Zea mays: one gene and its partners. The protein of the gene in region 3 binds, or shares a complex with, the protein of the main gene of each other region. Links are inferred from orthologs where the notes say so. Each region holds a gene or a part of one and is shown on either strand. Other genes may lie near its edges. The genes, in order: Thioredoxin-like fold domain-containing protein MRL7 homolog, chloroplastic; protein PLASTID TRANSCRIPTIONALLY ACTIVE 12, chloroplastic; Protein PLASTID TRANSCRIPTIONALLY ACTIVE 10; Protein PLASTID TRANSCRIPTIONALLY ACTIVE 14-like; chloroplastic iron-superoxide dismutase.

Region 1 (4,239 bases), on a different chromosome or scaffold from region 3:
TGAGGTTAAAAAAAGTCACTCGCTGGTTCCCCTAGTTGTGTGCACACAAGATGGACTGGCCTATAGAGGGATCCTTATGTAGGGGTTGGGAGAGCTCAAAGCACGAGTAAAGATCTGGCCTATAGGGGGCGGACCCTCATGCTGCATGGGGAGCTAGCTTTCGTGACTTTCCTCGATCGTGCTTCGATTAAGCTTCTTAATATAATACCGTGAGGTGGTCTTTCCTTGCCGGCTGAGTTTTTTTAACCTGCCTGGGCCTAGAAGCCAGAACCAAACACGCCCAAAGTTTCACTGCAGTTACACAGGATTGAAGGGCCTTCAGAATTGTCCTTTTGTCCTTGAATTTCCTCTCTTTTTGTAGGCTGTAGTTGCTTCAGCCCTATGATTCCTGTAATTGTGCTTTTCTTTTCTTCAATTGTGTAACAGCCTCCCTCCCTCTCTCAGATAAAACTGGCAATGCTATTCTACACCTAGTAGCTAAAACTGACCATGAAATACTGAATACGAATGAACCACATCCAGTACCAACCAGTAGTACGCGTCAGTACCACGAAATACTGAATACTACTGACACACGACTATTGAGTGTATACATAACAATGTGTGCTTGTGTGTGCTTACAGCAGTAGGAATTTCCTCTACTGTTTTTCCGTTTAAGGGCTAGTTTGGGAACCACATTTTCCTAAGGGATTTCTATTTTTCCAAGAGAAATTAGTTCATTTTCCCTTGGGAAAATAGGAATCCTTTAGGGCTAGTTTGGAAACACCATTTTCCCAAGGGATTTCTATTTTCCCAAAGGAAAATGAACTAATTTCCCTTGGGAAAATGAAAATACCATGGGAAAATAGGGTTTCCAAACTAGCCCTTAGTAAAATGGAATTTCCCGTGATCAGAACTGCAGGGTGCTGTCGCTGGTGCATTGAGCTGGGGCTGGAACAGAATTGGATGCAGTAGCGGACCCAGAACTGAAATAGAGCCCGGACGAGACTTAAGACATCACTCAGATCAAATGATTCAAAGCTTCCGATTAAGGTGCTGCGATGAATAGCTAATTGTGCGCTGGCACCAAAGTCTGGCCAGGCGCCTAGGGTCGCTGGACCCTGGGTCCGCCACTGACTGTATGGACGTTTTAGCATGGAAACAAAACCTTCAGATTGAGAAAAATGGAGGATGAACTCCAACGGGAATCCTGTCAGGAGCTCATCTTATGGGCCGCATGGGCGTATAAATTGAGCTGGAAATACGTCCTTTGCTCTATTGTGGAGAGGCTCAACTAATAGATCCCCTTTTCTCTCCAATCTTCTAATGGGAGTTTCCTCTTCCTCTCAAATGTCACAATGATAAGTAGGTCTCACCTCTACTTACCTATTTTGTTTCTCAATTAATTTCCCGCAAGAAAAAAGGTAACCCTCACTATTTTTTTTATAGAATTCTCACAAGGACAATTTGAACCATATAGGGGTGGCTAGGTTGGGGTGTTAGTTTGACATACCTTTTTCTCTATATAAGATCTTGTTTCCCCTAAGGAACAATAATTGTGGACATTCTCTTGCTTGAAGTGCATATGCCAAATCCCTCTCAATATTTATATCAACTTTGACTGTCTATTAAACAAAACAAAACAAAACTTAGGACCTGCACAAAGACCAGTAACCCAGCCAAATAATCAAAAGATGCTATTCAAACTTACCCGAGGAGGTAAGCGATCTTTAGCATTCCAGTACACCTTAGCAGCCTTTTCCAATTCTTGAAGAAACTTCCAATTGTCAGCAGCCCTGCAAATCACAACATCATGCAGGGTTCAATACTACACAATCAAAGCCTCCTGTAAATAAACTAATAAACTTCACCCTAAACAAAGCAATTCCAGAAACTGAAGCCTGTTTTGCCGTTTATCTGTCAGTACCAGGACAGTTCTGAAGTTTCTAGTTTCGTTTGATTCACACTTTACGGACATCCGCATTACACAATGCAAAGCTTAAAATGGTGATTGGGTTACACACAGCCCATTCCAAACATAATGCCAACAGTTTACAAATCAAAACTAGACAGGGAATGGATGGTCCTTACCTGTTGTACCGCTCGAAGACTAGGACGACTAAGGGGCTGGGGTGGAATGCGAAGCTCTCCCACTCCAAGCAATTGATTTCCTTGACCCACCCCTCGTCGACGTCCCCTTCCCAATCGATCTCCACCCCGTCCACTGTGACATTTCTGATCGAGTGCTTGTCGAAGTACTCTGAGGCCCGGATCCCCCATCCGACATCGGCATCCAGCGGCCAGCTCGGGTCCTCCTCTTCCACCACGGGCTTCTGTTCTCCTCCTTCTCCCTCTCCCTCGTCGTCTGGTAATCGCTCCACATCGGCCTTCGGCTTCAGGATGTCGCCTTTGCCCTCGAGGACGTCGGGGTTGCGCTCCTGGATGGAGGCAAAGACCTGCTCAAGGCGGTTGCGGACGAAGTCCTCCACGGCCGCCGACTCGCTGCGGCGCCCACGGCGTGGCTTCCGGGGCTTGGTTGTGGGGAACCCTGCCTCGGTGGATCCATCCGGGTTCCGGTTGCGGGCCTCATGTGTGGGCTTTGGTGGTTCCGGGTTCGACGTCGGCTTCGGAGGCCGTGAAGACGAAGAAGACGGCGGAGGAGCGGATGAGACAAAGATGAGCTTGCGGCGGCGGCGGCCATGGCTGCAGCCGACACGGTTCAAGCTGATGGCGGGGGTTGAGGGTTTAAGGGCGGTGAGGGTGGGGAGACGGAGCATCGTGCGCGGCGAGAATGGGCGCGAGTATGCGGCTGGGTTTCGCCGGTCGGCAGGTGCGCCCGTGCTATCCGAATGGCGGTTTCTCGTCCGCCGTTGCCCGTTGGTCTCGTGATCTTCTCAAATCCAACGGCACTGACGCTTCCAGCCTCGTGAATGATTCGTGAAAGCATGACGAGTGTGAGGAACTGCCAAAATTAGAGCAAATGGAGTATCTTAATCCCTTTGGATCTCTCAAACCAAAAGAAGAGAGAAACTTATCTCTATAACATCAGTAAATGATAATTGTGTATGTGTCATATTTCAATAGTTAGTTTAGTCTAGAAAACATTATAAATTTAGACGAATGTGAAGAACTACGCATATATTGCTCAACCGTCCCAAACTCTAATAAACGAGAAGAGTCGTGACGTCAAACCTACCTATTCTAATAAGGATGGAACCCAAAAAATTCTATTGGAACTTAACCCTCTCGAACATTGTAATTTTTGGTTTTATAAACAACAAAGTACACCAATTAACTATGGAGCTATCCAAATAACTATTTCCATCAGTTGTGCTTCTGAAACCTTGAAATAATGTATCACATATTCACTGAATGTACACTTACTGTCAAAATGAGTTTGGAAAGATACAGTCTAACAGAAGAAAGTTGCACCCCTCATTGTGGGCTACCTAAGACGACATAAAGACTATTTTGTGCACCTTAGATGCTAATGCCATTTTCTATGGTCAGTTTCATAGGGGCTTCGTTCTTATTAATGGTGTGCCATGTCAGCAGTTTAGATGATGTGGCAAGCAATTAATAAACAAAGAGATGAAATGATTTTCATGGAGATGAAACCATGTATACATTATTACCTAGACATATTGTCTTTTACATGTTAACTATGAAACCGTGCTGAATGAAACTCTTCACTATGAGAGATTGTTTCAATAAATATCTCATTTCTTTCTTAATTATGAAATCTACCACTGTAAATGCCCCTAAGGAACAACATCAGCCAAGCAAGGAACACTAGCACGGGTAGTGGTGAGAATGAGAATTTGGCTAGAGAGAAACATAAGAGGTTTTAATTGAAAAAAAAACACAAAAGAAAACAGATCATCGACAATAAGGGTGAAAACGGTCGGAAACGATCGGTAAACACAAAAACCATTTTCGTTTTCATATTTTTCCTCGGAAACGAGATCGAAAACGGTAACTCCGGAACCGAAAACGATATCGGTAATTCGAAAACATCGAAAACGAAAGTTCGGTACAAAAATTACACCGGTTACGATCGAAATCTAAAAATTCGATCGGTAAAAATTGTAACTTGTACCCTCAATTGACTTCAAAAATTCACGTAAGTCATACATTTATATAAAATTAATAATAATATATAAGGTAGCAGGCCACAATAAATATATAAAATAAGAAATCATAAAACAATAAAATCATTATTATATATTTAAATAAAGTAGAATCAAGATGTGTATAATG
Region 2 (5,811 bases), on a different chromosome or scaffold from region 3:
TCCTCATCCTCATCATCACTGTCTTCATTGTACTGTTCAAAAGTAGAAAAATATAGTGAAACAAGCAGTAGTCTAAATACATAAGCTATTATTACACCTTACAGAATTCACAATCCATTTCCCTTTTCAGTATAATATAAATGGCTTGAGAAGCTTTGACAAACTTCTTTCTTAGGAGAAAAATGAAATGTTTAGAGTGGGTACTTACAGAATGCTCTCCTATATCAATGGCGGTAGCCATAGGATCTTTAGCTTCAGGAATATACTGCCATAATAAAATAGATATGTAAGTAACATTAACCCTACCTGCAAACTTATCAATTGAAATTAAATTGATAGTTTATGTAAGATACCGTTATGTCTTGATTGACGTCCTCTCTCTCTTCATTCAGACGTGCATATAGCTCTTCCTTTGTGATCATTATCCCATGCTGAGAGGGAGACAAAGATATCAAATAAGAATTCATGACTCCTGATAGCTACCCAGGATTGACATTTATTCTTGTCATGTCATACTACTAAATGCACTTAAAAGTAAAGGTTATACAGCAGTTATGACTTTGCAGATGATAACATTACAAACATGGTTATGATAGATCTTAGCCAAGCAAGTCCAAATAATGAGTTCAGCAGAAGTGCTATCTCATACCTCCATCAGGTAAGGTACAACTTCAGGGGTAGGCTCATGAAATTCAGGACCTCTGTAGTCAATCACTTCATCAGGATCCTGAACATAATTAATTGTTGGATAGACAGGATCACCGCCCCAAACTACACATTAAAAAATAGATATTATGTCCTGATCAGGATATTCCCCAATACAATTAAAGTGTATGAAGTAAACCTTCCTATTCAAAAAATATGTTCTTCCAATTTGCAAGAGTAGAGTAACTTTAAGGTGGCATTCAATTATGAAGAAGACACTGATTTTGAACAACATTTTTACTAACTCAAGCCACCCAAATGGTCTGCTGTTATATATAAGAAACAGGAGCATATTAGTTCAAGAAATGCACACTCAAATCAGTGGATGGGATTATATAAATCACCCAGAAGGTTCTGCAACACAGACACGACTCCAAGGTGTATGAAAACAGTTTTTTTATATTTAGCTTCTAATAATATTATGTAATTGTTCCTAGTTATTTCCAGTCGACGTTGTACCAGACTAGAATAGAGCATCTCTGTGGAGGAATAGAACAAAGAAGCTAATGTAAGACGAATAACACATGATTATGCAGCAGCAACAAAAAAAATAGACTTTAAAGACAAGACATGCAAAAGAAGAAGATTTTTTAGCAAAGAAATACTCTGTTTGATCTGGTCTTCCCGCATTCTCATGGCCAAAGGATCTCGCTGAATACGCACATCGGTGCCCATCATGATACGATATTCCCCAGCAGTTTGGTGTTGAAACATTTTTATAAGTTGAACATTCTCATCTTCGCCAGTTTCCTCAAAGTGCTTCTGTATGGCCTCACGTGATGTATCCTTGTTTTTATAAGCTTCAACCCATTCTGAGTAGTACGCTATTGGCCCTATTTCTTCTAGTCTCCTTTGCTCTGCTTCTAACCTGTTTTTATATTGTATATTAAATGTAAGAGTATAAATGGGCAAGATAAACTTGTGTCAATTAAAAAAATTGATCCTCGACATCTTTCTGATGCAGTATTTAAGAATATATGATGAGACCGCCACATATTTGTAATATGTGGCATAACTTGGAGAAGGTGTAAATCCAAGAGCAGTTAAATAGGTTTACGAAAGATTATGTGATGAGACCATGCACGAGTGGTGGTACTACCAACTCAAATGATGTAAGGCAATTAGTAGAAACAATGTGTGCACAGATATTCAATAAAATCATTCGGTAAAGATGTACTGCAAAAATATATGGTATAATAATTCTAGTATTCTGTGGATGTAAGTCAACCTTTCCTCTTTGTACAAATGTCTTCTTGTCTTTGCAAGAGCAGCTTCTGTCCGTGAAGGATGGTCCCCAAAAATTTTAATTTGCCCAGTCTCCGCCATTGCCTTTGCAAAAACCTAAAATGATACAGCATACATTACAATTTATAATGTGGATCGCCGTCACGGAATATAAGTTAGTTGAAACACCAGTCAACGTAAAAAATAAAATCACAAAGCCTCAACCATATCAAGCGATATGAACAGACAAACCTGCACATCGATATACATGCACAGACGTCAACGCCATAACCCATAAGCACAAACCTCACCTTTACATCTGTGAGACTGACACTCTTCTCACGTTCACAGTACAAACAGAATAACTGGAGAACCATAAAATAATTGACACCATGGTCGCTAACACTTGACAGTAATTAGCAACACAAATACCATATACTTGGCTAGCTACTTTTGGACGGATAAAACAAACAAAATGACACTGGAAGATCACATGGAAATTGTTCCGTACGTGCAACATTTATACTATATGAACTATAAATGAGGCATAGAAATACTAGCGAGTACCATAGCAATACTCAAAATCATACATTTATGGCCTTTTGTTGCAGTACCTTTCAATGTCCGGAATTGGTGAACAGCCCCAATATAAGGAAACATCACTACCTACCACTTGCTAGGTTCAATCAAGTGAGGAACTAACCGTGTCAACATCTGGACGCCTCCTCTGCCATCTTGACCACATTTCCTCCTCCTGAGACTTCCTCCTCCAGTGCCACCAGAGCTCTTCACTGGTTTTCGGCTCCCCTAGTGACATTGCCTTTGCTGGATCAATGAACGGGTGTGGCCGCCCCATCATTTTGTCCATGTCATACTCACTCAGCTCCTCTTCCTCTGGTGTCTCATAAATGACATACTCATCCACCGAATCCTTTATCTCCTCCAATGCATCGTCCCCAGAGCCTATAATAGCCACATCAGGTTCATCACCATCCTTTCTGTCATCAGTCTGTGCACCCTCCGTTCCTGACGCCGACGTCACCTGCTCCTTATACCCTCTCCTCCTGCTCCCGGGCTTCGTGCCAAATGATGGCATCCCAGCTGACTCCCCAACCGGAGCAGGCGCTCGCGCGGCACGGACGCGGGCCGCCGTGCCCTCTGGCCAGTACTCCTTCCCGGGTATGCTTGCCCGAGCGCCCGACGCCGGCTCGAGCTGACCGGATGTGGAGTCGAAGTAGCTGGAGTACGGTGGCGGTTCTATCTTCGACGGGTCGAAATGGAGAGAGTCGTCCTTGACGCACTTGATCCTGGCACGCCGCGTGCCCAGGAACAGCAGACCCCTCCGGTGAGGCAAAGCACTGAACACTTTCTGTGCACGCACCGAACGACCTCCAGTCAGGCGCGTAAACCGAACTGGAACTAGGAACCAAAGTTATAAACTGTACGAGGCGTTTAGGCACTTACCGAGGACTTGCAGGTGCGAGAATGAGCCGGCGCCGTGACGGGCCCGGCAGGGACCGCCGTCGACATGCCTGAACAGTTTCAACAGAGTGGCTGTGATATCTGACGAGACGAACTGTGCGCAGGGAATAACGAACGATGAAATGGGGTCCAAGCTGGAGGTTACCTGGGAATAGGCGCCACGGGTTGTAGCAGGACGCCATGGTAGCGGCTCCCGCTATGGTGCTGCTTGCAGCGGTAGGGCGTAGGCGTCAGTCAATTCGTAGTGCGCGGGCGAGAGTGAGGTGCGAATCCGGCGGCGAGGTTTTGGATGGGACCTTCGGAGATTGCCGCGTTCAGGATAACGAGAAGGCTGAAGGAAGAAAGCGCTCACGTGGAAGGAGGTTGTCTTTCGACTTTAGAGAAGTGTAATAGCGGGCTATAAGACTGTCGCTTCACTCTACACATCTCCTACCCTATTACTGTTCATTCTATAGTGGCTACAGTACTCTCCTACCTCCCGCAGCGGCGAGCGCCACTCTCTCCCCTACCTCGCCGCACTCTTCTCTCTCATGCCAGATGCAGGGGATGACTATAACCGCCCCCTCGCCTCCTTCACGCGGACGGAGCCGGCCGCGCCAGACTACGGAAACTTCTCGGTCCACCTCGCTTCGCCTCGACCCCTCCGCGGAAGAGCGATTTAGCGCGGCGACGCGGCGGCGGATCTCCCGTCGGCCGGTGGAGTCGGCCCCGGCCCCCCTCGGTTGCACAGAAGAGGACCTCGACTTCGTGACCACGCAGTGCCGTTCGCGACCGAAGACGAAGAGGAGTCCAATCCGCTTCCGGCGAGGTACGTCGCGACCGATTCGTTGGCTTCCGTCTCCGACCATCGACGGCGCCATCAGATCCACACGGAGACGCTTCGATTCGGCGTGTTGCGGCCGAGATCTCCCCTTCTTAAGGTATTACCTTCTTCAACCTCGTCAAATCAATACTTATTTCACGATTGATTTAGAACAGCACTCGTATTTTGCTTCGATTCGCCGTCTTGCGGGCGAGATCCTCCCTTCTTGAGGTATACCATCTTGTACCCCGTCAAATGAATACTTCATTCAGGAAATATTTAGATCAGCACTGGTTTTGTTCAAAAATCCTAGTTTATTTTGGCCAGCCCATATGAGTTTAGCAGATCCACACTTGTAGTTTGAGCTGTGAACTTGTTACGTTGTTCATCCTCCGATTTAGCCCCCTGGTGGAACAAACTTTGTCTGTACCACGACATGGGAATACACACCAACACTAAGTAGTCGTGCGCATTCGGAACCACTTTGAACCCTTCTTTGGGCGTCATGTTTCTAGGAGATGCAGACGGCCCCTACAATTTATCAGTTCACCCGTACTTGCCAATGGAACCAAGGTTTTCAAACTCGTAGCCTAACATTAGCCATGACAGCAAATCTATTTCCCCAGTGATGTTCATTCCACTGAAGCAGATGTTTATTAAGTGAACAAATTGTATTTGTGGCGTTTCTGGGGAATGTTACCCTTTCGTAGCATTTTAGTCTTCACCCATATATGGCATTCCACTGACACCCTGATTATGTCATAATTCATTGTGCTTGCATGGAATACACGTATGTTCATGAGTTGTTCACTACAATTCATGACATGTTCATTTACTTTTGACTATGATTATCTGCCTGATCATGTGTCTGCCTGAACATGTGTTTGACCCACAAACTTATGTAATGTTCAAGACTTCAAAATGTGTATCTATCATGACAATAGTTGTATCATTTCTATCTGCATGTACTACTTTCCTTTCTAGTTCTGTGCCATACACTTCCCTTACGTTTAATTGTGTTTATAATGTTCATGCTTTATGTACAATAACATGTACCTGCCAACAAATATATAAGTGCTATTGACAAATTTATTGTTTTCATGTGTCTGTTTGGTTTATGAATCGAACTGTACATGTCATATGTCATCTTCACTTTACTTCCTCCCTAAATTATGGACATTTACATGTTTTTCATATGCCTTAAGATACATTTGCCTGTTACCTTTCTTCATCATTATCATATATCCATGCTAGCGCATGTACACTACTTTCCAAGCTCTGTTACATATACTTCCCTTATATTTCCTACAAGTTTGTAATGGTGTTCCTTTTGTTTATGAATCCATGGTGGTGCATACAATTTTGTAGGCAATATTATGTGGGAACTTTTTTCATTCCATGAATGCATATGCTTTTTAAGGGTTTGCACATGTTACTTCATATATTAAATGTTTGCAGTCCATTTGATCATGGCATCCTCCAAAGAAGATAAGATGAAGGTTTTGATGAAAGTCCTTGTAGACTGTACCGAGGATGCCACAAAATCCATGGGGGGTTTAGTTGATCATGCATTAGACCACATGCATGATGAAGAGATC
Region 3 (6,003 bases):
TCGTGATGTAAAACCGGTTGTGCGGGGCGCGTGGATCGGTCATCTTCTTCAGGTCCAGGTCCATGCCGTCATCGTACTCCTGCTCGTCCTCTTGCGCCTCGGCCGCCTTCCTCCGCCTTTCCCTCGCCTCAGCCGCTTCCAACCGCAGCTTCTTGCGGACGTAGTCGTCGTACGACATCTCGCACCACTTCTTCGCGTCGCCGACCACCTGCTGGTTGTGGCGCTCCACGTCCCGCTCCAGCTTCGTCTTCTCCGTGTTCTTGGGCTCGCCCCAGTAGTCGTACCGGTACATTGGCTTCTCTGGGTCATAGTAATCCTTCCCGTACACCTCTGTCTCGTCCACGTCGTATCGCCCGGGCTCTTCGATAGGAAGATCAAGCGCTTTCCGGCTGCAAATAAAAAAAAAAACTTTATTAGGGAGTTACCAAACTACGCAGTAGGTGGTGTGACAGAATTCGTTGATACAAGATTTACCAGCAGATGTCTCTGATAAGCGCTTCCCTCTCTTCAAATGAACGACGCCATTGCATCAGATCATACTCATCCATTTCTTTGTTTCGTCGGAGCTTCCTAACCTTGTATTCCTCCCCTCTCTCCTCGGCTTCCTTTTTCAGCCTTTTTATCAGCTGTACCGACTAAAGTTCAGTATGGAATGGTAAGCGATTAAACAAAATATTGTCAGCGTATGTAAAAGGAGGTGTACCTGGCGTTCAGCACGGGCAGCATCCAGATCAAGTTCTTTGATGCTAATATTCTAAAAAAAAAGGGGATCACAACAGGATGCCATTAGGGGATACATCTACTTGCAACTAACAAGCTGCAAAGATCCAAAGATGGGTAACCACAGATATTACATACCACAACTTTCTTTTTTAGCAGTGTTTCTTTGAAATATCCTTCGGTGTATTCAACTCTTTTTTCTTCATCGATTGAGGGTGCATCAACTGTGGACTCATATGTTGTATTCTTGAATTTATCTGGATTTTGTTCCTCGTAGTCTAAAATCATCTGCTCTGCATTATGCCATTCCCAAAGCTGCAAAACAAAAAAAAAAGGAACTTAACTTACAAACCTATTTGACGGCAAGATGCACAAGCCACAACATGATGCATGCAAAATAATATATATACGAAGCATGAGGCATATGATTGTGATTCATGGAGAATACCGTGTCAACAAAAGGATGGTCTGATACCAAAGGTTCCTTTTCCATATCTTTTAAAGGTTTTTTCCTAGGAATGGGTGGCCGTCCGGCTTCACGCTGCCAGTTCATAAAAAAGGTTAGATGCACCCACCAGTATAAGATCTGAAAATGGTAGCAGAAAACTGAATCAAACAGAATTAATTCGCACCCACAACTGCTCTAGGTTAGTATCCTCCTTACGGTGAAATATTGGTGGGAAGTCGAATCTATTAAATCTGCAGTCAGAAGGGAAATACACATTGGAATAAACTCAAGCACCGATATGGCAACTGGCATTAATATTCATATTATCAGAACTGAGGACACAATGATAACAGTGGTACTCACATTAGGTGATCAATGTTAGGATATACAAATCGCATCTCAAGTGGGAAGCGGAAGCGGTAAGGGTCTCGTTTGGCCTGCACAGAAATTGATAGATATTAAGGTCGGTCTACTTAACATGTACAGAATGTTCTAAAAAATGAGAGAATGAACAAAACATGCACTTTAGTCAATGTAAAGCATTTCCTTTATAATATTGAAACTAGATGTCCTTAAACCACTCGCTGTAAATGTGAATTTCTCAAGATCACTTACCAGAATCTCCACGTAGACTTTCATGCCAGGCTTGATGTGATGTCGGATCCAGTACCAGTCATTTCCTTTTATCGGTACCCACCTAAAAGCATCACAAGTTGTAAATTTTCAACAAGGTAAATAGCAGACGATGTCTTAGCAACTATGCTAAATTTAAAATCTAGGGTAAGAGACAGAGGACTATCCTACAAGGCTACAAGTGCAAATTTAAGAAGCTTGCCAAGTTTGTCTGTTGCTGAAAGGTGGAGAGTGCTGATTGGATCTAGATTATGTGTTGAATGTTTTGTGCAAGTTTTGGGGTGTGCTTAATAATCTGAAATGTGGTAATTTCCAGTACACGCAGCAGAAAAAAGGATGGTATAACAAGAAAACATGACACCCAAATTTCAGACATGTGCATGGGAAGACACAAGTTATAGCATTACCATAAACAAAAAAAATTGTGTTAGCCTACAGTAAGGAGAGAGTTGAGATAATCCTTCATGGCCTGCCTTTTGCTAAATTAAGTACACTAGGTTCATCGTAAATTCATCATGCAGCAGAATTCAGTGCACATACCCCTCATGGACACAACCAATGTTCACAAAGGCTCCCTGGTAGAGGTGAACAGTCGTTACTTGCCCGTAACATATCTGCAAGAGCATAAAGCCATTTAAAAAATGGTTAGAATTAAATGGACTAGCTAAGAGAGAAAAAAAGGTGAAGTAGAGATGTTCCAACAGAACCTGTCCGGGATAGTAGAATGGAAGTTCACGCTGCATCAGAGCAAACAATACTTCAGTACCTTAAAGAAATGAATCACAAAATGTATGGGACTCGTTCAAGAGCTGAACCTACCATATCCTCACTGTAGTCCTTACCTCTTTTTCGTCTGCCAGGGAAGTAATCCTGATCAAACTGCACAATTGCAATAGCCCAGGTTTAACATTACATGATGGCAGAGGAACACTGTAAATACTCGATGGGATGTCAAGACAGACACGAATTAAATTCTATTCAATTACGCACACAATGACAACCAAAACTAGCTTCATCGTTTTCTAGATGATCATATAAAGATGTTCCGGTTAGAATTAAGCAGTGAGTTACTCAATTATACCTGGTAGGACTCCTGCTCCAACCTATCTCGGTTTGCCTCCACCCATTCCTTGTACTGCTTCAGGAACATTTTGTACCTCTCTAGCGCCAGATCCTGTGGCGCATCCTCCAGCTTCTCCACGTTGGTCACCCCTGCCGCAGCCGCCGCCTCCATGTCCAGCCTCTCAGAGGCCGCCCTGTGCGCCTCCCTTATGAACTCCAGCTCGTCCGGGTCCACCTCCCAGCCAGGCGGCGGCCAGTCCCGCGGCGGCACGAGCCGCAGCGGGAGCCGGCCGGCCCACGTCGTCTCGAGAGGCTCGGGCGTGTCGCGCGTCGCGAAGAGGCGCTCCAGGTATCCTGGCTCAGCCTCCACCTTCTTCCGGTAGGAAGGCGTGAGCATCCGGAAAGCCTCGAGGGACTCCGGCGACTGAAGCGGCACCTCCTCGCCCTCGTTGAGGCTGTGGCGCGCAAAGGCGACCTCCGGCGTCATGATTTCCTCCCACGGAGCCCATCCGTGCTCCACCCAACTGCGGCGGCGGGCGACCTCCTCGGGCTCAGTGTTCTTGATGCTGATCGAGGGGATGACCGGTGGGTCCGCGGCGGGGGTCTCGTCGGTGGACGAGGGGTTGATGGACGCGGCGAGGCGGTGGAGGCGTGGTCTGAGAAGTGTCTTGGGGCGACTGGGAAAGGGGAGGTGATGGTGAAGGAAGGTAGCGGCGGCCGCTGGGGAGGCCGCCATTTTGGGAGCACGGACTGGTGGCCGTCCAGTGACCCGTCGCGGGGTTTAAGGGAGCGGAGGCGCGGCGGGGATAAGGTTCATGTGGTGGCCCACATGTCGGTAAGATGAAAACTAATACTCTGATAGTTATATATTATTTTTTAGTTTTTTTATTTTCTTGTGAAAAATAGGATATATAATCTGCTTCGTAAATTTATATTTTTATTTTTAGTAGTAAATTTATAAAAAATATAAAAAATAAATCTTAAATTTATTATGTGAGTTGTTACAAAATGCTTACATCACTACAGGTCGGCTCCAGGAGGATCAAAAGATCCTACCGAGATAATAACCGATTACCTAGAAAAAGAACCATCACTCCAACCTTTTATTCAGAGCAGAACAAGGAATGTCTTGTGAAAGGTCATTTATGATATAACCATTAAGGGGGGGTGTTTGGTTGCTCCTGCTAAAGTTTAGCCTAAGTCACATCAAGTGTTTGACTTTTAAATAGGAGTATGAAATATAGACCCAACCAACTGGACTAGATTCGTCTCGTCTTTTAATCTTCGGCTGACAAATTAGTTTTATAATCCGACTACATTTAATACCCGGAACGGAGGTTTAAACATTCGATTAGACATGAGCTAAATTTTAGCGGGGTGTAACCAAACACCCCCTAAGTCTAGTTTGACAACTCTATTTTTCTAAAAAATTTCATTTTCCAATAAAAGGGTTAGCTTGACAACCGTATTTTTTCAAGTGATTCTTATTTTTATAAGAGAAATTAGTTTATTTTCGCTTGTGAAAATGTAAATCACTTGGAAAAATAGAGTTGTTAAACTAGACCAAAATTAGTTTAGTTTCCTTTGTAAAAATTAGAATTTCTTAAAAAAATAAAATTGTCAAACTAGCTTTTAGATTTTTTTTATTTTTTGAATGTAAACTATTGAAGGTCCGCTGATTTTTATGAGTTCTCTCTTTTTCATAAGATTGACAAGTCTGATCTGTGTACAATTCTGATTTCGGACATCATTTGTTGACAGTGACAATTCGTATAGCTGGAATACAAAAGATGTCCTAGACTCTGCTCGGACCGACTTTTCCTAACCTTAGCGTAATTTCAAGTTTTCAGCTAATGCCTGAGCACGTGAATTAAATAAGAACAGGAAATTACAAATAAAAACGTGAACTTCAAGAATGTTGGTGTAGGCACGAAGCAGGTTATGATTTGAGAAGACTTTGGACATGAAAGTTGATAAGTGGATGAAAACTTGGCATACACACACAGCTCGCATTCGCTAAACATTTATGATGCTGACAAGAAAAATGTGCCTTCAAATAATACCAGATTTTAGTGCACACCAATATGGGTAATAGCGTAATAAAACCTGATGCCAATGCAAAATACAATGTTCAACAAAAAGGATGCATGCTGATATAAGCAGATACGCTACGCGGAACAAAATGAACGATCAGGTTACATGTCGTTGTGTGGAGCTCAGTGCTCCACAAGTATGGCCACTGAGATTGCTATTTCTTCTCAAAAAATGGTAACCCCCAGCACCAGTAATTCCAAAATACACAAAGGGTACAAAAGGAATGAAAGAATTAAGCTCTACAAGGGGAAGAGTATCTTTTGATTACAGTCTACAACTTTGCACACTACATTCTTCCACAAAAATCACTAAGGCTCTGTTCGGTTGTTATGGATTTGAGCCTCGGATTGATTCCTAGCCGGATTACTTCTCTAATTTATATAGATTTTGATGAGCTGGAATAAATCCTGGTCTATTCCGGTGAAACCGAACAGGGCCTAAAGGACTCAGTACTCAGCATTAAGCTAGCTGGTTTACCCGACTGCAATCCAACATCCCTCTTTCCACCAGTTGAAAAGAACACATTGACGCTTCCCTGCAAAGGGCCTATTTCACAATGCATGGTTTTTGCTACAACTAATATGAGAACTCATGCCCTCTGAGGGATATATATTTCTTCATCCATATGGCAATGTCCTCGGCACAGGCCTGCGCCTGTGGTGTTTTTAGGAATACGTCCAGGGTTGCAAACTCGTGAACTGTATCCTTGTAGTCAAGAACCGGCGAGTCAACATTAACCTTGCGGAGTTCCTCAGAGTAAGCAATTGCTCGATCCCTCATCCAGTCATGCTCGGCAATAACCGTTAAGGTCGGCGGCATGCACTTCAGTGGAGGGCCTCCTCTGCCAGGCGCCAGAGGGTTGGCAGCAGGGTGGTCTAGGTTGAACTCTTTATCTGACAAAAATAATCTCCAAGCAAGTAAACATGTGGACTTGTCATAGAAGTATGAGTTCGCAAGCCTTATTTCCGAGTGTGTTGGAACACTCCCTATGAAAAAGGGATACATCAGGACTTGTGCAACAACCTTAACTGGGTCAAATGGTTTCC
Region 4 (5,840 bases), about 92 Mb from region 3:
ACAGATACAATTCTAACTGTCAGTTTTCCGATATCAAAGAAATGACAAAAGTAAAAAAAACTTTTTGTACACCATTATCCATAAAGTAAGCATCAACAAGATACAAGTGTGTGGTCATACCGTTGGTGATGAGAACCCATATCTTTCCATAAATTTGCTGTTGACGCCACTCATATAATCTATCGTCATCTGTACATGAGTGCATGGGTCAAATAGTGACATTAAAAAAATTGGCTTAAAATTTTGGAAGAATAGACTTTGTGAGGATAGCAATTTTAGCTGAGACTGGTAGAAGGTTGTGCAGCGGTATTTCTATTGGTACATGGGATAGAGAACTTTCCAACATGTATGGGACTGGAGAAATAGAATGGTCTAAATATAATTATGCACAATAATAGAAACAAAGTTTGCTAAAGGATCTACTAGCATTTACGCATAATTTTAATGAATGCGCTTTTCAGAGTTTTTTTACTATCCATTATTTTTTAACAGGTATTTAAGCCTGATGTTAACAAAAGTGAGGACTGCAACCAAGGCGCACATGCATCATTTATTATGGTGATAAATCCATGTAATTAAACAGAGACATTTAACTTCACTAGCAACACAAACCAATTAATCCGTTGCTCAGGGAAAAATTAAGATGAGCATACATCCTAGACAATACCTCGTCTCCTTTCTTGATAGCTTGTCCAGCCTTAATCATAACTTCAAGCATACGGTCTTTAAAACGCCAATGCAGGAAGCAATTAGCATTGGGTGAGTGGTTCAACATATCTGGGGATAAAAGACAAATCATGACTTAGATAAAGCACTCCTAAGCAGATAATTGGGGACTACACTAGCAGTCTGAACAATAATTTGAAGGCAGATAGCTGCCTATAATGCATGAATGGGAGAAATATCTTGTGTTAAATATGACAGATATATTTATGGTTTTTATCTCAACAGTTCGACGATGCACAGGCATTGTTCCTGTTATATAGATTATCTAGGATTAGTTTAATCTTGCGTCTCAAACTAAGTTGAGCAGACACGATGCTAGAGGCTCCCATATGAGTGGGGTCTGGGAAAGGGATAAACCAAAGCAAGCCTTGCCCCTACAAATGCGGAGATGCTGTTTTGAACCCGCAACCTAGTGACTCAGTGAGACAGCTCTCACCACTGCACCAAGCCTGTCCTTCACATCTCAAAGACTCAAACTAAGTCAAATGGTAGAATGTTGTATCTGTGTAACAGTAAATGAACAAGCAGATCGGCATATAAAACTACAAAACAGAGTAGAGTAGAAGTCCAGTTGAAATGCATAGCTAACCATATTTTTGTGACTATTATTACAGGCTCATAACGCTAGCATCCTGTTGTTCACTTAGGTGCCTATGCATAACGCAACGGAGAGGGGGAGGGGGAGCAGCAATCACGAAAACCAAAAAAAGAAAAGAAGTACCAGCATAAGGAGCTAGCACATTTGCATCTTGGATGAAGGCTCCCATTCTCAACTTCAAGTTGACAGAACGAGACTGTACTATACTCAGTGCCCAGAGAAATCTCTCATGGTCACGTGCAAGGCGTTTCAGCTTTAGAGGAATTGGTTTGTCCTGGATATTACCCATCAAGCTAGTTAGAGGAGTTCAAGGAAGGTAAGCTAGTAACATAATGAAGAAGTATACCCAATGCTTTTGCCAAAAGTCAATTGCTCGTTCCTGGTGTTTTAACATTTGTGAAGCAAGATCTTCATCTTCTAGTTCCATTAGATCTTCCTAGAAAGGCAGGCATATGAATTCATTCAAACAGCAGAATCAAGTATAAGGAGGTTCCTAAGAAAAGGACACAGCAGAGGTATATACTTTCCGTTAGCTTTTTGATACCTTTGGTGCCAGCAGCAAACTAGTGCATTCATCAACACTTGGCAAAAAATCAGAATATAACTGCCAAAAGTTGTCTTCTATATCAAATGCATATAGAAGAAGACATGCTAATCTTAGATCCCAATCTGTCTGCAAGAGTAATACAAATTACATCAGCTTCCAGCATAGATCATTTATTGGCGCTTTAATATTTGTTGAAGAAAAGACAGATGATTGAGTTTTTGAAAGTGGTATCACTCCTCTCTAATGCAACTGTGAGCTTATGGGTCGATAACTTCAACCATATGGATGGAATGTGCACATAAATTGCTCTGCAGTCTCAAATTCTCAATTACACAGATCCTAGCTGTATGGAAACTCAAATGTACTATATGAACATTGAATGCTAAATTGCACCCATACAACTTCAACACAAGTCAATTAGATGGCTGTTATGTAATGAATCCTAAAATAAATATAGGAGAACCAACAACTGGTTAACAAAATGATTAGCGTGACAAAGCTATTAACTAATTCGCTGAACATTCAATAGAAACTAGTGACGGAATTTTAAGAGATCAGTTTTCTCTTTGCAACAAAAGATTTGATCCACCTACCTCTGGATCTGTTGACTCGATAACATCAAATATAGGATGGCCTAGTGGAATAATGTCAGGGAAAAACATCCAAGGTTTCTTTTGAGTTATAGTCAGCATCAGCTCCAACGGAATCTCCATAATCACCTGGAAAAGAAAGCAACATCAGCACATCTTTCAATAACATTGCTCATCATTGCGAACGAAAAGAACCAAATATGTTATACAAACAGTTTCAGCATGCCAAGAATATCATATAATTCTTTTGAACAAGACCATCGTACTACAGGTCTATAGCATGCATCAAGATGAAGAATTCAACACATGGGTCTGGCATTTCGTGAGCTTAATGCGACTGCGAGCAAACATGTGTTATAACTATAGATGCCATATTTTTTGGTGACAGCAAGTATGTAGCAAATAACAATTAGGCAATTAACATAAGCCATTGACTTCCAGTGGTAATGTATACTACCTACTAAATATAGTGTAAATATAATCTAACAGTTACTACACACGAACAACGTCCTTGACCAGTTATTCTCATGTGAGTTTCCCACCCAATCACAGATTCACAGGTGCTGCATCCAAACACTAACTGGTGTGGTGATGGACGTCCAGCTGCAATGAGACAGAGATTTAAACCTCAAATTGATCGGTAGCTAGTGGTTGGACTTGGACAAGAGGAGAATTGTTGAATGAAGTGTCTCACTCTAGCTCTGCGAAGTGGCTCCACGTCCCGGGAAGCGTAGACGCCCATCCCGTCGGGGCCTTCGAGGAACTCGATCCCATAGGCGCGCATCATCCGCGCATATCCTATCCGGTAGAAATCAGGGTCCGCGGGCTCCATCTACACACAATGCGATGACGTACGTAGACGATAACCGTCAATCGAGCGATTCTAAATTCGGCGGTGAGACCGGCGTCTGTAAGCGAGCGAGGAAAGCGTGAGGGTGAGGACCTCGGGCGGGAAGGGGTCGTCCTCCTGCGGCGGCTCGAGCAGCCTGAGCGGAGGCGTGTCGTCCCGCTCCGCCGCGACCTCCGCCACCGGGGGAGGAGCCGGCGCCGGCGCCTGCAGGCGCGGGCGGCCCGCGCGGAGGTGACGCGGTTGCCGCCGGACGAGGTGTCGCCAGGGTGTCCGGCGGGGGAATGAGTTAGGGAGAACGGAGGGGAAGAGGAGGGCGGGGGCGGTGGGGATGGCCATGGCAAGGACAGGGAGGGACGGTGAACTGGACTCGCCGAAGACGTTATCTGTTGAGTACTTGAGTGGCGGGCTGATTTTTTTGCATTTTGATCCTTCATCGGAAAAAAATTCACGTTTGGACCCTATAAAATTTTAATGTCATTTTTGGACCCTTTACTCGGCGCCGTAGCCTGTGGCGCCGAGGTAACACAGCTCGGCGCCATAGGCTATGGCGCCGAGGTACGTGCTGCGTTGGCACAAACGGACGTCGTGGCGCCCAACTTTTTTGCAAATTGGCCCTTTTCGGGTTTTTTCCCACAAATATGCCCCTGGCAGTTTCATTTCAAAAAATGGACCCTTAGCTCGGCGCCGTCATCATTGGCGCCGAGCTTCTGTGTGCCGGCGCCAATACTATTGGCGCTTATACATCAGACGTGGCGGTTGGCTGGCAGTGACGTGTCAGGGGGTCGGCGCCAAGATCTATGGCGCCGACCCCCGGGTCGGCGGCGCAACACGTGTCCGGGGGGTCGGCGCCATAGATCTTGGCGTCGACCCCCTGTATTCAACCTCTGTCAATCTTCTGTGCAAAAAAAATTGAACTCACGCCGCCCCCAAGACCCCGCGCCGGCGCTACTCCTTCCCCGGCCCGCGCTACTCCCCGGCGGCGCTCCACCACCGGCCGCCGCCGCCCCGCCCGCCCCCGGCCGGCGCCGCTCCTCCACCGGCCGGCGACGCCAAGCCCGTCCCCGCCCGGCGCCGCTCCTCCCCGGCCGGCGACCCCCCGCCCGCACCCGGCCGGCGCCGCTCCTCCCCGGCCGGCGACGCCCCGCCCACACCCGGCCTTGCGCCGCTCCTCCCCGGCCGGCGACGCCCCGCCACACACGCCCCCGCCCCTCAAGCGCCCCCGCCGCCCCGCCCGGCGCCGCTCCTCCCCCGACCGGCGCCGCCCGGACACGCCACGCCCGCCCCCCGGCAGCCCCGCCAGCCCTGACCGCGCCGCCGCCCCGACACGGCCGGACGCCTCCCACCGCCGCCGCACGGCCGTCGTCCCGTTCCGGGCGCGCTCCTCGGTCGCGCTCGCTCCTCGCCCGCGTCGTCGACGTTCATCCCCGACCGTTTAGGTAAATTTTATATGGTTTTTGTTTATTGTGTAAGCATTTTGTGTTAATTATGTTAAATTGTTTTGCTATAATTTGTGGTTTTTTGAATGTGATGAATGTTAGTTATTGTGATAAATGCTAATTTGATTGAATATTATGAATGTGAGTCAAATGTGCATGTTTTTTATCCTCCCCGTGCAGGGGAGGTGCTGTCAAAATTTGCAATTATTATATATGAGTATTTTATAATGTGATAAATGCTAATTTGATTGAATATTATGAATGTGAGTCAAATGTGCATGTTTTTTATCCTCCCCGTGCAGGGGAGGTGCTGTCAAAATTTGCAATTATTATATATGAGTATTTTATAATGTGGTTAGTATATTAGTGGGTGGTGGTTATATTTGTACTTATTTAGGTAGTAATTAGTGGTTTGTGGTTAGGTAATAACCATCCACAGTTTATATTGAATGTTTAATTGGTGTTTCAAATAGATGGACAATTTTTTGAGCTTGTATCATGGAGGCAATGCGGAACAAGATCCGTATGGAAATGCCAAGTTCATTGACATGCGACACGTGCCGGTACTATTCGATGGTAGACAATTATGTATTTATGTAATTTTTCATCAATTTGAAGGTAATTCATTACGAAATATCATTGTTCGACAATACATAATACCGAATAATAAGTTCATTATTACATAACTTCAAATAAAACACCAATACTACTGAGTACAACGAGGCCATTTGCCTTTGCGAAATGCATCAGGGTTCTCCTCCATTGCTTCCTTTGCACGACGTGCACGCTCAAGCTTCTTCTCCTTATCTTCCCTGCATTCAGCAACACGCCTCATTTTCTCTTCGTCTTCACGTTGTTGCTCGGCAGCAAGCTCCTCTCGTCTTTTTTCCATCCTCTCTTTATCCTCTGCATCCCACTTTTGAAGATTCTCCAACCACTTCTTGTCTTTCTCTGATATTTCTGTGTCAATCCACTGCTCAAAATCACATAGCGGTGGAGGAGTCTACAAAATATGCAATTATTATTACGCAAAAAAACAATTACAAATTGTAAACATATTACAAGACTATTCTCACCATTAAATTCATCCGAC
Region 5 (5,716 bases), on a different chromosome or scaffold from region 3:
GTAACGCGGGCACGCGACTACGACCTGGCGGCCTAGCCCCTGCGCGGCTGCGCCCTCTGGCCTCTGCAGTGGTGTGCTGCTCCCTGTTGCTCAGAGCTCGCGTGCTATGCCGCAGTACCGCCTCTGCGCGGCTGCGCCTCTCTCTGCTAGCCGTGCTCTCGTCGATCTCGCGGTTGGCGGCTGGCTTTGGCACAGGGACACAGAAAACAACCTGTTAGGGTTTTTTTGGGCCAAAATCTCTACTATATATATAAAATTTTTTTGGGCTACGACCCGGGCCACGACCCAGGTGGCCCAGGCCCAATATCCGCCCCTGCTTTTATATGTTGTCTCATACTTTGGCTAACCAATCGGAGGAGTTATGACTAACTATGGAGGATCTAATAACACATCTGAGAATGGTGAAAGCATCTGAGACCCTACTTGAGTTTGGTGATTAATGAAAACATAGGATTATTATGACTAACATGTGTTTTGCAAAAAAAGTGGGTTAGGCCGTGATAATGGAGAAGGATTGGGCTTATGTGGTATTTTGTGCCTCTATTGATAGAAATCAATTTTTGGTTTCCAAAGGACAAACGAGAAGGTTAATGACCAACTAGTTCCAAGTATCAATGTAGTTGTTAGACACTTAGGGCCTGTTATTTCAGTTTTTTGCTGATTCTGGCCACTAGAAGGTACTACGATTGCCAAATGCTCAACTTTTTTGCCCGCTTCTATGGGAATCGCTTTGGTAAAAACCATCCAAAATCAACGTGAACACATAATCGTCGCGATTAGAGCAATCAACCACTTCCTAGATCCTAAACCCTATGGACCCCCTTCATTTTCCTCCGCATATAATCCCCACGATACTTAGATTCTCCCCACAACCAGATTCTAAAAAAAGCTCGTTAGAAAAAAGCTTAAACAAAAATGCCCTTAGAATAGTGTTAGGACCTCATTTTTTTCCTTTGGTGTACTATAAAGGGGGGCATATAACAGATAGCTTGGCCTAGGCAAGTCTAGTTAGAAGTGGTGATGCACACTTGTGAAAACTAGTGCTAGGTAAACCCATGGGAGTCTACGAGAAGTTTGAAACCAATCCCAACTCAAAAAGTGAACATAACAAGTGAGTTGGCGGTGTTGCAGTGGCACCGAACATGTCTGGTGGACATCAAATATGGTTCTCAAATATGGTTCTCAAAGAGTTATCAGACAAGATACTTAGAGATGTTGTAAACTATGTATGAGAGACCGAATACTTACCGAACATGTCCGATGTGCCACCAAATATGGTTCTCAAAGAGGTCTACAACCGTGCACTCGAGCGTTGCATTCACTCAACGTGTTCGGTGTGGCATTGATGTGAACACCAAATACTGTTACAGTAACAACTAGTTTTTGGAACTAGCCATTGGAAAAGCGCGAGATTTGTCTAGTACAAATAGTTGGTGAAGAATAAAACATAGATATTAAAAGAATCTAACAAATAAGATATCAAATTTGATTCAAGAAATAATAAATTCTTTACTAGTAGCAAGAGAAACCCCACATTAAAGATGGATTGCTACAATTATGATAAACTTGATCATTTTGCTTACCAATGTTTTAATCCGAAGAAAAATAAGTTCAAAGACAAGAAAGATGACTTGAGTGACTATGAGAAGAAAACCAATAAAGCCTTCAAGAAAATAGATAGCAAGAAGAGGCAATTCCACGAGAAAGAAAAGGTTGATAAATACTACATTGTTAGTGTTTGGCTTACTGATATTGATTGAACAAATGATTTGTATTCATGTGACAGTGATGAAGAAGAAGATATAGTGACCACTCTCTATTGGTAATGATAGACAAGCTACTTCGAACACAAAGTTCTAGTAATGGTTCCTCCAAGTCTCCTTTGGTTAGTGTGGTCGACTACAATCAAACTATGGCGACTTTTCCCTACACGGGGGCTAATCTACGAAAACTGCATCGAACAAATCTAATTAGGGGTAATATGCAAAACTATCGAGTCGCGATTTATGCTCGAGATCCAAATTAGGGATTTTTTTATAAAAATATGTGGACAATGATTAATACTAGTCGCAATCCAAGTTAGGTGTCTTTTTGAAAAACACAGGATCCAGATTAGTAATCGCGATCCAACAGGGGTCTTTGTGAAAGTGTTTTGGGCTGATCTGCAAACTTGCGGTGAAATTCCGGTTTCGGCTTCCGCGGGGTGGGAATTTGGATAGCGCGGCGCAGGAAAAATGGCGGCTTCCGCTCTCCACCTCCGCCTCCACCCCTCGCCGCCGGCGGGTGTGAAGCTTCAGCAGCGGAAACTGCGCTCGGTGAGCCCCGTGGGACCCTCTACTACCCCCCCCCCCCCCCTTCTTTTTCTACCCCCTTCTCGCTGCATTCCTGTTCGTTTTGATTTTGCGAGAGGCGGAGCCACTCCTACTGTGGTCGCTGCCCCTGTGCCCCCACCCTGAACCCAGTACGCTGCCCGCCATGGCGCTTCGCGGCGACTGGGCAGAGTGAGTGGTGTGGGATGATTCTGCCGTTAGCTGTGGTGTTCCGGAGGCTTGCCGGGCTGCCTACCTAATCTAATGCTCTAGCATAAGGATCCGCATGTTCGACGTGTGTTTCACATGCTTAGGAACTCTCAGTCTCTCACTTATGTCACTTGGAAACTAACGTCATTTTGACTGCCAAGTTAGATGACTTTTCCTTCTTAAGAGACTGCCTAAGGGCGTGTTTGATAAAATTGTTAACTGGATATAAATTAACTTTAGCGCATCTAAACAGAAGGGCTAATAGGTGAGTTTTTTTAGTCAAGTTTTTAACTAGCTGTTAGCCAACTAGCTAGACAACCTTAGCTAATTTTTAGCCCAACTAGTAACTAGTCCTAAGGAATTCCATTGAATTGTATTTTTATTGATCAATTAGAATTGAGCTCATCCAAACATGTCCTAATTTGCTCAGATGACCTTAGCTTTTTACGAGGCTAAATTGCACTTTTCATTATTCAATGAGCATGCTTGGCCTTGAATTGATATTGCTGGTTTAAGGCCCAGTTTGTTTGAGCTTTTGCTGACTTTTCACAAACCTTAAAGCAGTGAAATCAATGAAATTGCTGTGCAGACATATGTTTTGAGATTATATGCTGTTTGTGCCTGATGTTTATTGCAGAAAATACAGAGGCAGGGTGGCCTATCTCGAAGATTTTCAAAAGTTGTGTCCTATTACGGTCTCACAACCCCACCATATAAACTGGTCTGTAAGCCTGTTGACTCCAGTCACAAAGATTTGCGTGCTGCCATTAAAGGAATGCCCTGATTTAAACTTTGTGTACCTTTGTTTTGTGGTACGGCGTTCAGGATGCTCTGGAACCTTATATGAGCAAGAGGACAGTTGAACTTCACTGGGGTAAGCACCATCAAGATTACGTGGATGGCTTGAATAAGCAGTTGGCTACCAGCCCTCTGTATGGATACACTCTGGAGGATCTGATAAAAGAAGCTTATAACAATGGCAATCCATTACCAGAGTATAACAACGCAGCACAGGTAACTCGTTTATGATACCCCGTTCATTATATTTTGCTTGCACTGACCATCTTCTGCCTGTCATTTGTTTTCTTTCAAAAAGAAAAATAATGCAATTTGTGCTTTCGCCAATAGTAGGATGGTTTTTGGAGTTCCAAGCTTCTGTCTTCTGACATGCAGGTCTGGAACCATCACTTCTTCTGGGAATCAATGCAACCAGAAGGTGGTGGCTTACCTGAGGGAGGTGTGCTGCAGCAGATTGAAAAGGATTTTGGCTCGTTTACTAATTTTAGGGAAGAGTTTATCCGCTCAGCCTTACAGCTGTTAGGGTCTGGTTGGGTTTGGCTTGTCTGTGAGTTTCTTTCTATTTTTTCTGAAGTACAGGCACCACTGATTCAAGCTACTGATTTCCTGAATTGCTCTTTCTAAAGCAAGTTTATAAGTTCAGTTTATATTCCATTGAATATTTGTTGCAGTGAAGAGAAATGAGAGAAAGCTTTCGGTTGTTCATACACGAAATGCTATCTCCCCACTTGCTTTTGGTGACATTGTATGTTTACTAGACTCCCTTTTTCCTCTTTTTGTGTTTTCTAAAATGTTTAGAGTACAAACTTTGCAATGACATCCCATATTCTCTAATTGCAGCCAATCATCAGCCTAGACTTGTGGGAGGTAAGGACATGGACTATGAGTTTTTAGATTTTATTTCGTGCCAAATATTGACTCTTCTCCTTTTATCTCCAGCACGCTTACTACTTAGACTACAAGGTGTGTGCTCCAGTTCTCTTTTTTGGTCCTTAACACTTAATTTTGAATTTTGACAAGTTAGTTATAGCTTAGCAGAAAACTTCTATGGTTCTTTGTTTGTCAACTTTTCAGGATGATAAGCTAACATATGTCACAAACTTTATGGACCATCTTGTCTCTTGGCATACTGTCACTCTACGCATGATGCGTGCAGAGTCTTTTGTGAACCTTGGTGAGCCAAATATCCCAGAGGCTTGAGCTACAGATACACCCTAGTTATCATCGTGAGGTAAGAATTCAGTACTTTGATGCATTGCACCTAGCACATATATATCTTAATCACGTACTTCAATGCAGGAAACAGGGACACTGTTTAGTTTCTTTGTGCTTTTTTCCCAGCTATTGAGTAACCTTTAATAGTAGAAATTAATGGAAATTCAATTCATATTCATAGGTTTGTAGTGCTCTCTCATGGCACGACAAAACTTTTTCTTGGAAAACTAGTACATGACGAAACAGAATACTAGTATTGAGATTGATGTTCATGCACCATGAGATTTCAGGTTACATGGAGGTTTTATGTAAAGGTTTTCTTTTTTCTATTTTAGCTAAGGCCAGGGAGTCGTGCGTGCCCAAGGCTTAACCTGCCACTGAACTGAGATGACAATTAGAGGCTGTCGCTGTCACATTAGTAGCACTTGGTTGATCTTTATTGGCAAGGAATGCTGCTATAAAGCACCCAGTCCCTCATAAACTAAATAAATCAAAAAAAAGCATCCTACCTTTAGCTAGTTCTTGCATCCACCATGGTTTAAAAGGCGGCTAGGCGGAACTAGGCGCCCAGCCACCGCCTGACCGCCTAGGCGACGCCTTAGTAGCCAAATACCAAGCAACCAAACAGCTGTTACAACTCATAAACTAGAAATCATCACAAATTCACAATAGCACAATAGTGGATCTGAAATATCCACAAAGTAGTTTCTAAAGGAACAATAGCAAGTCACAAAATTTAAAACAGCACAATACCAAATCTGAAATAGCCACATAGATAGTTTGTAATGACATAATTAATAGTAACTAGCTGCAGTTAGTAATGCAGCAAATATGCTAATGCAATCTAGCAATAGCTATTTTCCCGTCGCTCAAAAATCATCATCAAACTCTCCTGGGATATTGGGTGCCTCCCCTTCTTCACCATCATTGCCACCATTAGATTCATCTTCACAATCTGTGATTTCCGCATCATCATGTGGAACATCTTCTTCATCTTCATCTTCCTCTTCAGCCTCTGACATATTTTGTGCAGCAACAGAATTTCTTCTTGAATACACATTATGGGCTCTTCTTGGTAAGTTTCGGCCATGAAGTGCTTGTGATGCTCCAATGGCATTATCCACAAGGTCCCATGTAAGGTCACACTTACACCCACGCCCACCTTCAGGGACTACATGCAAAGA

Evidence for each region.
Region 1: Protein PLASTID TRANSCRIPTIONALLY ACTIVE 10 (region 3) and Thioredoxin-like fold domain-containing protein MRL7 homolog, chloroplastic share a complex: the UniProt entries of both Arabidopsis thaliana proteins name them as parts of the transcriptionally active chromosome (TAC) complex. The link is inferred for Zea mays from reciprocal best matches to the Arabidopsis thaliana genes PDE312 and MRL7.
Region 2: Protein PLASTID TRANSCRIPTIONALLY ACTIVE 10 (region 3) and protein PLASTID TRANSCRIPTIONALLY ACTIVE 12, chloroplastic share a complex: the UniProt entries of both Arabidopsis thaliana proteins name them as parts of the transcriptionally active chromosome (TAC) complex. The link is inferred for Zea mays from reciprocal best matches to the Arabidopsis thaliana genes PDE312 and PTAC12.
Region 4: Protein PLASTID TRANSCRIPTIONALLY ACTIVE 10 (region 3) and Protein PLASTID TRANSCRIPTIONALLY ACTIVE 14-like share a complex: the UniProt entries of both Arabidopsis thaliana proteins name them as parts of the transcriptionally active chromosome (TAC) complex. The link is inferred for Zea mays from reciprocal best matches to the Arabidopsis thaliana genes PDE312 and PTAC14.
Region 5: the proteins of Protein PLASTID TRANSCRIPTIONALLY ACTIVE 10 (region 3) and chloroplastic iron-superoxide dismutase are in contact, whole or in part, in a cryo-EM structure (PDB 8XZV), measured with the Spinacia oleracea proteins. The link is inferred for Zea mays from reciprocal best matches to the Arabidopsis thaliana genes PDE312 and FSD3. Residues at the interface, in XP_021866326.1 of Spinacia oleracea: Arg80, Lys81, Trp84, Val85, Trp89, Pro91, Glu156, Leu158, Arg177, Asp178, Arg188, Glu192, Arg195, His198, Lys199, Ala202, Arg204, Tyr276, Pro277, Tyr314, Trp315, Glu329, Leu331, Arg346, Asp353, His354, Leu355, Leu356, Phe357, Arg359; in XP_021853685.1 of Spinacia oleracea: Tyr59, Tyr60, Gly61, Leu62, Lys63, Lys64, Pro65, Pro66, Leu100, Asp104, Leu106, Tyr107, Gly108, His109, Thr110, Lys116, Val117, Tyr119, Asn120, Tyr121, Gly122, Asn123, Glu142, Lys194, Ser204, Asn205, Arg258, Gln260, Ala261, Phe262.

The regions. Positions count from the first base shown.
Region 1 is NC_050098.1:188,497,992-188,502,230, forward strand, and holds the start of Thioredoxin-like fold domain-containing protein MRL7 homolog, chloroplastic, read right to left. Parts: upstream 2,801-4,239; 5' UTR 2,757-2,800; coding exon 2,071-2,756; intron 1,776-2,070; coding exon 1,691-1,775; intron 1,605-1,690; coding exon 1,493-1,604; intron 1-1,492. UniProt on the Arabidopsis thaliana protein: Plays an essential role in early steps of chloroplast development. Involved in the regulation of plastid gene expression. May positively regulate plastid-encoded RNA polymerase (PEP) activity through binding to FSD3 and CITRX/TRXZ.
Region 2 is NC_050098.1:198,689,305-198,695,115, forward strand, and holds the start of protein PLASTID TRANSCRIPTIONALLY ACTIVE 12, chloroplastic, read right to left. Parts: upstream 3,786-5,811; 5' UTR 3,594-3,785; coding exon 3,557-3,593; intron 3,462-3,556; coding exon 3,394-3,461; intron 3,299-3,393; coding exon 2,633-3,298; intron 2,047-2,632; coding exon 1,934-2,046; intron 1,574-1,933; coding exon 1,311-1,573; intron 772-1,310; coding exon 650-771; intron 432-649; coding exon 354-431; intron 266-353; coding exon 209-265; intron 33-208; coding exon 1-32. UniProt on the Arabidopsis thaliana protein: Involved in plastid gene expression. Acidic transcriptional coactivator necessary for the transactivation of many PIFs target genes (class B genes), particularly during the regulation of hypocotyl growth.
Region 3 is NC_050103.1:170,021,476-170,027,478, reverse strand, and holds the start of Protein PLASTID TRANSCRIPTIONALLY ACTIVE 10, read right to left. Parts: upstream 3,650-6,003; 5' UTR 3,600-3,649; coding exon 2,883-3,599; intron 2,681-2,882; coding exon 2,621-2,680; intron 2,539-2,620; coding exon 2,509-2,538; intron 2,416-2,508; coding exon 2,342-2,415; intron 1,866-2,341; coding exon 1,784-1,865; intron 1,606-1,783; coding exon 1,532-1,605; intron 1,420-1,531; coding exon 1,353-1,419; intron 1,262-1,352; coding exon 1,169-1,261; intron 1,036-1,168; coding exon 859-1,035; intron 755-858; coding exon 704-754; intron 636-703; coding exon of another isoform or gene 627-635; coding exon 475-626; intron 390-474; coding exon 1-389. Other genes in the region: probable carboxylesterase 16, read right to left, coding at 5,534-6,003.
Region 4 is NC_050103.1:78,052,410-78,058,249, reverse strand, and holds the start of Protein PLASTID TRANSCRIPTIONALLY ACTIVE 14-like, read right to left. Parts: upstream 3,657-5,840; 5' UTR 3,648-3,656; coding exon 3,405-3,647; intron 3,294-3,404; coding exon 3,156-3,293; intron 2,591-3,155; coding exon 2,465-2,590; intron 1,998-2,464; coding exon 1,869-1,997; intron 1,761-1,868; coding exon 1,671-1,760; intron 1,599-1,670; coding exon 1,448-1,598; intron 778-1,447; coding exon 668-777; intron 190-667; coding exon 121-189; intron 1-120. UniProt on the Arabidopsis thaliana protein: Essential for chloroplast development, especially for thylakoid formation. Involved in plastid gene expression, probably by maintaining plastid-encoded RNA polymerase (PEP) activity.
Region 5 is NC_050101.1:80,340,691-80,346,406, forward strand, and holds the start of chloroplastic iron-superoxide dismutase, read left to right. Parts: upstream 1-2,219; 5' UTR 2,220-2,234; coding exon 2,235-2,315; intron 2,316-3,156; coding exon 3,157-3,240; intron 3,241-3,344; coding exon 3,345-3,533; intron 3,534-3,692; coding exon 3,693-3,864; intron 3,865-3,988; coding exon 3,989-4,062; intron 4,063-4,157; coding exon 4,158-4,184; intron 4,185-4,256; coding exon 4,257-4,280; intron 4,281-4,391; coding exon 4,392-4,517; 3' UTR 4,518-4,548; intron 4,549-5,716. UniProt on the Arabidopsis thaliana protein: Destroys superoxide anion radicals which are normally produced within the cells and which are toxic to biological systems. Plays important role in chloroplast development, particularly in the maintenance of thylakoids membranes.